Linked DNA regions of Arabidopsis thaliana. The protein of the gene in region 1 interacts with the protein of each later gene in a pairwise test. Each region holds a gene or a part of one and is shown on either strand. Other genes may lie near its edges. The genes, in order: AT3G11530 and AT1G36980.

The links.
Region 2: the proteins of AT3G11530 (region 1) and AT1G36980 interact in a two-hybrid assay, tested with the Arabidopsis thaliana proteins (one large-scale study listed by BioGRID).

Annotation. Positions count from the first base shown.
Region 1 is NC_003074.8:3,627,825-3,632,412, reverse strand, and holds AT3G11530 (Vacuolar protein sorting 55 (VPS55) family protein), read left to right. Parts: upstream 1-1,876; 5' UTR 1,877-2,403; intron 2,404-2,508; 5' UTR 2,509-2,527; coding exon 2,528-2,560; exon of another isoform or gene 2,561-3,224; coding exon 3,225-3,349; intron 3,350-3,428; coding exon 3,429-3,612; 3' UTR 3,613-3,883; downstream 3,884-4,588.
Region 2 is NC_003070.9:14,022,914-14,027,752, forward strand, and holds AT1G36980 (transmembrane 50A-like protein), read left to right. Parts: upstream 1-1,720; 5' UTR 1,721-1,843; intron 1,844-2,025; 5' UTR 2,026-2,170; coding exon 2,171-2,303; intron 2,304-2,390; coding exon 2,391-2,478; intron 2,479-3,212; coding exon 3,213-3,365; intron 3,366-3,780; coding exon 3,781-3,814; 3' UTR 3,815-4,038; downstream 4,039-4,839. Other genes in the region: AT1G36990 (C-jun-amino-terminal kinase-interacting protein), read right to left, coding at 4,681-4,752.

The DNA.
Region 1 (4,588 bases):
AATGATATGTTTGAGTAGACATAAGAGAAGCTGATCTCCGCCTCGCTCCTCCGAAAACAGAAAGCGTTGATCAGTATACCTCAGACGCCAAGCCTAAGCGGTGGAGTCGTCGCTTGGCCGTGAATGGATGGAGCGGAGGTGGCGGCGACGGCGTAGCCTCTATTATAAGCTCGAGGACAAATGAAAGAGGTACGAGGTCGGTCCGAGCCAGTGGACAGAGGCAACGACTCAGATTAGCTCTCCTCGCTTTTCCTTTTTTTTTCTTTCCACAGCTCAGATTGTTATTTTATTTTATTAGAAACGGACAAAATAGATAACAGTAATCATTTTGCAAAAATAAAAAGGAACAAGGTAAATTAATTAGTCATTGTAATAAAGAAACAAAAATCTCCAGATATGCAAGAAAATATATGTTTTATGTTTTATTTCATACAAAATCATCTGAATTATGTCCAGCCATTTAGGAGATTTGATGTTTTTTTCATGGACTATGAAACTAGTCTAGAGTTATAAAACCCTCTTGTCTAAAAAAAAAAAAACGTTATAACTTCTCTAGTTCTATTGAAGCCAGATTGATTGATGAGTTATGTTATTATTGACATATCTATCATTTACTCAATACACTCACACGTAGAAAAAAGTTGACTTCGAAAATATTGGTTAAAAGAAACTACAAAATTTGTTTTACTCACAAAGTTGATAATGTCCAAAACATAATTTTTCACGATTGTTTTATTTGGACAAAATAAAAATCATTGTTCTACCGAAAAATAAATAAATAAATTCATTCTCATTGTCTTAATTTTTTTACGAAATTATGAAGTGGGAAATGGATCAAGTAAGTTTCACAAGTGGGAGTCCAATAGTTAGGATCATGTCGGCCTCGTCCACTTGCGTTCTCCTTGATTTAACGATCACTTGCTTGTCTCAGGTCTCAACTAGTGGTGACGTCAATTCATTTGGTATTCATTGGACTATACACTTTTTTTCATTGTCAAATAATTGGACTATGCTACTTAAATAATATACAGCTACTCAGAGAGACTTTTACTCCAAAACGAAAGAGCCCCTTTTAAACAACACCTTATTATTTGGAGCAAAACAAAAAACAACACCTTATTTAAGTAAGAAATTAGTAATGGTACATCACAATGGCATCATAATGAACAACTGATAAACACTTTTGAATCGTCACCAGCAGCAGCATGTCATAAACGCACCAACCATGATAGCATAGATCGTGAGGTGCGCAATACCATTACTTCTCGAAGACATAGAAAGCATTGGAAACAACTTATGCTACTTTGGATCCATTAATCTCTCCTGATTAACTACTCTTTATCTTAACCTTGTTTTTATTTCTTTTTGCCAAGGTTAATTTAATTTAGGTAATACGTCTCTTGTAATACCAAACATTTCATTTCTAATGATATTTACATTCTTAGCAAAAAAAAGAAAAAAAAAACAAACAATGATAGCATAGATAGTGTATTATGATGGAGATTTACGTACTCTAACTAAAATTATGGAAACGAATCAACTCAACTTATGGTTGCTTAATAGTTTAATAATACTTTTTCGTTGATGCAGTTTCAATCATAGTTGATTGCATTTAAATAACAAAAAATGAAAAGAAAAAAATATTTAGCATTTCACATATTTTGATGATTGGTATGAACTTTGGTTAAAAATTTCAGTTATAAAATCATTTTTATTACGTATGATTTAGGAATGAGTTTTATGTGGTCCTTGCAACCCAAATTTTGATCGTAATTTTTTTTTCATGTCATTTAGTTTGTGATATTTTAAAATCGACTACTAGCTGTATTATCAAAACCACAATCCTGGAAACCAATTATAACCAAAATAAACCAACCAAACCAAAAAGATGAAATCGATGAACGGTGAGAAAACCAATTTTGACCGGTCACTAATTTTCATTTTGCTCTCAAATCGCGACTCCTCTCTGGGCTCTCTCCTTCTGTATCTCTCTAAGGGGAACAACGAAATCATCACCTTCTCTTTTATCGTCACCGGCGATCATTCAAGACTCGATCTCCGGTAATCAGAACATTTTCATTCGCCGACATGGCGATGACCATCGAAGGTAATCAATCACCTATCTTCCAACTGTATCATTTCCCGACGGAATCGAATCAGATTCAAGTCGATTTTCCCCTTTTACTTTTCTCCCTTGCTCTATGTTCATATATTCCATACGTATTAGAGATTGGTATTGATTTACTCAGATTATAGTTATTTTGTGCTTCGTGAATTGTTTAATTTTGTGAGCTAGGGTTTCTGGGTTTTGCATTGTTCAAACTCACTCATTGTTTGCTCTTTTCTAAATTTTTTCCGATGCTGATTTCTTCTGGAATGCTCAAATTGCTTTCTTGGTACAGTGTAAGTTCTAAGACTTGATGCTCTTTAATTACCCTTGTTGTTACATCTGCCAGTGTATTCTCGTGTGTCGTGATCTTACAGATTTTATTTTTCTTGATTGCACAGACTTGCTGGACTTGCTTTCATGTTTTCATCTAGTATCCTCCTACAGATCCTGGTACGTTTCTGAATATAGCTATCTGCTTATAACCCTTGAAGCTTGATCATAAGATCATGACTTAGTAGCTTTAAATCCTGCAAGAGATGGTTAGCTAGTTCTGCTGTTAGGTTGTGAGCTGAGTATACTGGTCTCCTTTTGTACCCTTGTTGATGTAGCAAACAGAGTTGTGAGTCTTTTGGCCCGTTTTACTGGGAGAGATACTCTGTGAAGTAAAGTTTGTTACATTCAAACCTTCTTTCATATTTGAAGTTTTGAGCTTTACTCTCTTGTAGTATGTTGACTAGCGATCTCTGGATCCCAAAAACCAAAATTACACTTAGAATTCTTATCCTTACAACACTATTTGACCGGAGCATATGGTAAGCTGGGGTCCTTAGCCGACCTCAATGTCTAACTTGTTAATTGACTTAGACTTTCTGAACAACTTCTATAAACTCAAGCATCTTCTCTCCTCAGCTTATATCAGGTCCTTGTATAGGTATAGTTTTTTTTTTTTTTTGCACTTCGATTAGAAGAAGAAAGGATCATCTGATTTACAAATCTGATACGTTTCCCATATTTTGTGATTTCCTTTGGTATACCTGGTTATACCATGCAATGAGTAACACGTGTTATAGTCATCTGGGAGATATAGTGATAACTATTTGTTCATAATGGTCAGGCATGCGCGATATATGGTAACTGGTGGCCAATGCTATCAGCACTCATGTATGTAGTGGTGCCTATGCCTTGTATGTTCTTTGGAGGAGGCTCAACCCAATTCCTTATTAGTCGGGACGGTGGAGGGTTAGTTACTAGAGACTTTATTGCTTCTTTGAGTTAAACGAAAGATCGATTACCAAATTGGCTCGTCCATAAAACGCAGGTGGATAGACGCAGCGAAGTTCTTGACCGGAGCATCGACCGTGGGAAGCCTTGCTATCCCAATCATCTTAAGGCACGCACAGATGATCGAGACAGGTGCAATGCTCATAGAGTTCACATCATTCTTCATATTCATTTGCACTGTCATGTGTTTTCACCGGGCTAGTCTCGATGATGACTGGTAACGTAGATGTTGCTGCTCGTGAATTACTAATTGGATTCGTATGAGAAAGAGAGTGTGAAGAAAAGATGAGGTTACTATGAGTGGTTAAGAAAGTTGTGTTCTTCTCCCTCTTTTTGTAAAGCTTTGTATCACTCAATGTTTGTAAAAAGTTTTATTCATCACTGTGAATCTTTTCCTGAAACTAAGTGCCAAAATATTTTGTTTCGCATGTTTAGGAAAAAGTTTAATTCATCATTGTGAATGTTCCCTAATCCCTAGATTAGCTTCGAGAGATTAACAAAGAACGGTTCAACTGTAACACGTGGTCATGAAATAATGTCCGAAGGCCCTTCAGATAATAAAAGCCCATGAACTTCATAAGGGTAGAAGCGTAATTTTAAAAGAGACCCCTTTCATATATATATCCTTGCGATTATTATTAGCCGTCATCGTCTAGGGTTGGTTGTTCTGCAATTTAGTTTTTTTTTTTTGTGTTTTTTATAATCTGCAGCATCGTTTCTTGTAATCTGAGGAATTGTTTTTCAGACTGCACGATCGTTTAATTTTGTTACGTTGGTTGTTTCTTTGAAGTGAAAAACGGCGAGGGATGATGATTCAATTAGATGTGCGAATGGTTTCATCATGAGCTCAAAAACTTTATTTGGCATTTTATAATCTGACTTCGCCGTCAACTCTTTTTTCTGTAATTTGGAGGAATGGTAAATGGATGATGATTCAATTAGATGTGCGAATGGTTTCATCATGACCTCAAAAACTCTATTTGGCAATTTATCTGACATCTCCCATTTCTCTATGTTCAATCCAATATATCTCCTTTATGTGGTTTTAACTCGATATTGTTTTATTGTCTGCGAAATGTTTGATAATGATGAGTTAACTTTTATAGAGTGTTACATAATTATTTTACTTATTCATATTGTAGTTACGCCATTGAAAAACAGTTTGATTGTTTATCTGTTTGGAGTTTGCGTTGATAT
Region 2 (4,839 bases), on another chromosome or scaffold:
ATTCCTAAAGACTCAAAGTTCTTACCACTCATACTTGCTGAATATCATAGTGGCCTGTTGGGTGGTCATTCGGGTGTGTTGAAGACAATGAAACGTATTCAACAATCATTTCATTGGGAAGGTATGATGAAGGATATTCAGAAATTTGTTGCTAAGTGTGAAATGTGTCAACGACAGAAATACTCCACCTTATCTCCGGCTGGGTTGTTACAACCTTTACCAATTCCAACGCAGGTTTGGGAAGACATTTCCTTGGACTTTGTTGAAGGGCTGCCTGGTTCTCACGGAAAAAAATGTCATTTTGGTGGTGGTAGACAGATTAAGCAAATATGGTCATTTCATTGGTCTCAAACATCCTTTCAATGCAGTTGATGTGGCTAGAATTTTTATTCACGAGGTAGTGAAGCTGCACGGGTTCCCTGCATCGATAGTTTCTGATAGGGATAACACGTTTTTGAGTTCCTTTTGGAAAGACTGCTTCAAACTATCAGGCACTAAGTTGAAATACAGCACTGCTTTCCATCCGCAAACAGATGGCCAGACAGAGGTGTTGAATCGCACATTGGAGACTTATTTGCGATGCTTTGCTTCAGCTCATCCTAAGACTTGGTTCCAATACTTACCTAGGGCTGAATTGTGGTATAACTCTTCTTTTCATACAACTATCAAAACAACACCTTTTAAGGTCTTGTATGGCAGAGATCCTCCACCAATTATGCGTTTTGAAGCTAATTCTACTAAGAATTGTGAGTTAGAAGGGTTACTCAAGCAGAGGGATTTGATGTTGGCCGATATTAAAGAGCATTTGGTGAATGCACAGCAGTTAATGAAAAATAACGATGATAAACATAGAAGAGAAGTTGAGTTTGATACACGGAATAGGGTGTTCTTGAAGCTAAGACCATATCGTCAAAATTCTGTGACAAAGAGAGTGTGTCAGAAGTTGGCAGCGAAGTATTTTGGTCCGTTTGAGATCATGGAACGCATTGGGAAAGTTGCTTATAGGCTGAAACTTCCAGAGGGTTCTAAAATACACCTTGTTTTTCATGTGTCTCAGTTGAAACAGGTTTTGGGTGACCACCATCAAGTCATTCCATTACCGGAAGTGTTGACTGCAGATAATGAGTTTGTGGTTGTGCCTGAAGCTGTGCTGGAGACTCGTTACAATGAGGATGGACTCTTAGAAGCGTTGGTACATTGGCAAGGTCTTCCGGTTCATGAGGATACATGGGAGATAGCCAAGGACTTGAAGAAACAGTTTCCAGGTTTAGCGCTTCAGGACAAGCTGCATGTTGAAGGGGGGGGGGGGGAGGGGGTATTGATAAGCCCTTAATAGTGTATACAAGGAGGAAGAGGCGTGAAGCACGTGCGAATGAAGATGGTGCTGAGGAGCACGTGCGCTGAAGAAGAAGTCACACGTGTGAAGTGTATATATTGAGACTTAGCTTTCTTTAGAAGATTTATGCATTTTGTTTGTAACTGCCTGTGACGTATGTGTCTGGGTTTGTGAGAGTAATGATCTAGATTTGTGTTTTAGAGCTCTCTGTATCGAACAAATTGTATTGACTCTTTCAGATAATAAGTTTTACAGTTTTCTTGTTATCAGAAGACCTGCAATTTCTAGATTAATTTTCATCAATTTTTTCTCCTTTTAATATTATTATAAAATATTATATATCTTTATTTGCGTGATATGGAGAATATGATAGATTAGCTATGTGTTCTGGTGAATCGATTCTGAGATTAGCTACCAGAACAAATAGTAAAACAACATCGTTTGCAAAGTGTTTTTTCAAATCACGCAAATAAAGTTACATAGCCACAGATGCAGGGTCCGATTCTGGTAGCTATATGTTTTTTGTATTATTTATTTTAATACAAAAACGATGTTGTTTTACTATTTGACAGAAAATGTTATTGTTGACTTTATACGTTAAATTGATCTGTTAGTTGATTATCTAATATCTTTTATTTGGCAAAATCGAAAAAAATTAATAATTTACTTTGATGATTTTATCATTACAGGTAAAGTTGATGCTTTGTTTCGACACTTTTGGCATAATAATTTTAATGACATTTTTTCGGTATAAAAACTATAATAATTTAACAATATCAACAATAAAGTTTTTATTTATCTATCTATCCAATTGGAGACGAATCATATCGAGCGATGGATTTGGCAGAACTGTGGGCGATTTTCGGACCCGGATTCTCCGGCGCCGTTTTCGGAACCGGGTGGTGGTTTTGGGTCGACGCCGTCGTTTGCAGTTCCATCCAAGTTCCCTTCGTCCATTACCTTCCCGGTAAATATATCTAACTCTCGATAATTTATCAATTAGGGTTTCCGAATTTTGAGCGATTTTGGTCCGTTGGATTTGGGGATTTCGCAGGCATATTCGCTTCTCTCGGAGCTTTGATGTTCAATTGCGTCAGAAAAGAAGACATTGATTACTCTCCTTACGACGAAGGCGAGTGGAGGTTAGTTTTTCAAATTGATCTGAGTCAACATAAGAGCTTGGTTACTTCTTGTTTAAATCTGTAATTCTGTGGAAAGTAGAAGGTAGTTGAGATAAGTGTACAAATTTTAGCTGATTTTTGTGACTGATCCATTTAGTTTGAAGTATTTGAGTGATCATTGCTTCTATAAGTGTTGAAGTATTCATGATTTGTGTTTTATGGATTTGGATTGAAGCTTATTTATAGCGTATGTCGTTGAATTTGTTTCATTCGCTCTGCTTCTGATTCTGTTTTTGATCAAGATAAGAGTTAAGAGCTTGGTTACTTCGTGTTTCTAATCTGTATTTTTTGTGTAAACTAGAAGATACTTGAGAGATCTTGTGTGTTTCATTTATGTGAAATCAAGTTTTCGCTGAGATTTGCGGTTAGTTTAAACTGTTTCTGATTTGTGTATTTATGTATTTGGATTCTTGGCTACAGATTGAAGCTATGGCTTTTTCATAGCGTATGTCGTAGCGTTTGTTTCCCTAGCTGTTTATGTTGGCTTGCTGATACAGTTATTTAATCAAGGATAAGATTTAAGAGCTTGGTTACTAAGTGTTTCTAATCTGTATTTCTGTGTAAACTAGAAGATACTTGAGAAATCTTGTGTGTTTATAACCCTCATTATCTGAAATCAAGTTTTCGCTGACATTTGCGGTTAGTTTCAACTGTTTCTGATTTGTGTTTTTATGTATTTGGATTCTTGGCTACAGATTGAAGCTGTGGCTTTTCATAGCGTATGTCGTAGCATTTGTTTCCTTAGCTGCTTCTGTTGGCTTGCTGATTCAAGATTCGGTTGTGAAGACTGGGCCTTCAACTTGGACTGGTGTGGCTGGTGTCTTTCAATGTGTATTTGTATTGATAAGGTAAAGCTATTCTATGCACTCTTCTGGTTGTGCATTTCTTGAAACACTAAACACTGCTTTTTAGATTGGGAAATTGAACACAAATACTCCTACAAAATTACCCAAACTTGTACAAATAGATTTAGTGATTCTTACAATTTTAGTCATAGTCCTTTGGATTCTAACACTTCCATTCTTAACTAATGTGGCTGTCTTCTTTTCGCATCTGGACTAAAACTTTTCGTTAGAATCATCTTTCATAATCACAATAGATTTTGTACTGGTAACAGTAACTTCCAAACCTAGCAAATGTGATTTGAATTGCAATCAGTGAAGCATCCTAACCTTTTTGTTTTCGTATACTGCATATCATCTTATACTAATCTATTTGTATATATCTCTGGTGTCTGGTCACTGACCACAATTTTTTTGACAGTGGGCTAATGTATTGGACATCGCACTCAGAGTAGCGCACAGGCACATACTTCATCTCCGACTCAGATTCATACTGTGACAACTTACAAGTTCCTCTCGTTTCTCTACTATGTAAATTCCTGTGTCTTGTCTTGTCACCTTGGCATTGTGTGCGAGATTCCTCTGTTGCATCAGTGTGTGTTTCTGTTAAAACTTTGTGTGAATGTTATTGAAAATACTCCAAATCAATCAGTTGTCCAAAGAGAACGCAAATAGGCAAACCTTTTAAATTACCTAGAAAAGAAAACTCAAAATCATGTGATCAGCAAGACGAGGTACATGCTCAATGAGATAAGTTCGCAGGCCGGCATGCTAACACGTTGGGCTTAGTGGGTAGACTTGGACACATTATTTCTGCCGGCAGTCTTAGCAGACCAGCCTGTCGCAGTCTTACAAATATAAATGCCTATTGCGGATTGGCCTGTTTGGCACCTCTATTGGGTTTATCCAATGTTTTGTGTTGATGAAGAAACTCTTTCGCAATTATATATTCTCCTAAGAGCGAACTCTTGCTCATCAAACATTAGAGACAAGAGAAAAAGACAAAAAGAGGAACACGTGTGTGAGAGCTGAGCCATTTTTTTTTCAGACCAAAGAAAGATCTACAAAGTCTGAAGAGGGCAGGACACTCATATGGCAACTCAAAGCCTCATCAGCTTTATTTGCACTATTTGCAAATCATCAAAACAAACAAACAAAAACCCCTCCCTGCCTTTCTCCTCTCCCATTGCCAAAGTAGTAGCTAAGCTTTTCTCAGGAACAAAAAGACCAAAAGAAGAAAAATATATTAAAAAAGAAATTAGAAACTATCTTTCCAAAAACCAGTACTTTCTTCAGTTTTGTAAAGTTGGGTTCAGGAGTCTTAAGCTACATCCTCTCTTGCTTCATGTATCATGGATAGTCTCTCCGGAAATAACGGCCTCAGCTCCTTGTACTGATCAAACAAAACAAAGAACATAACCATTATTAATATTTCTGAGTTATAATATGAGAGAGAGAGAGAGAGAGACTGGGGCTGTTA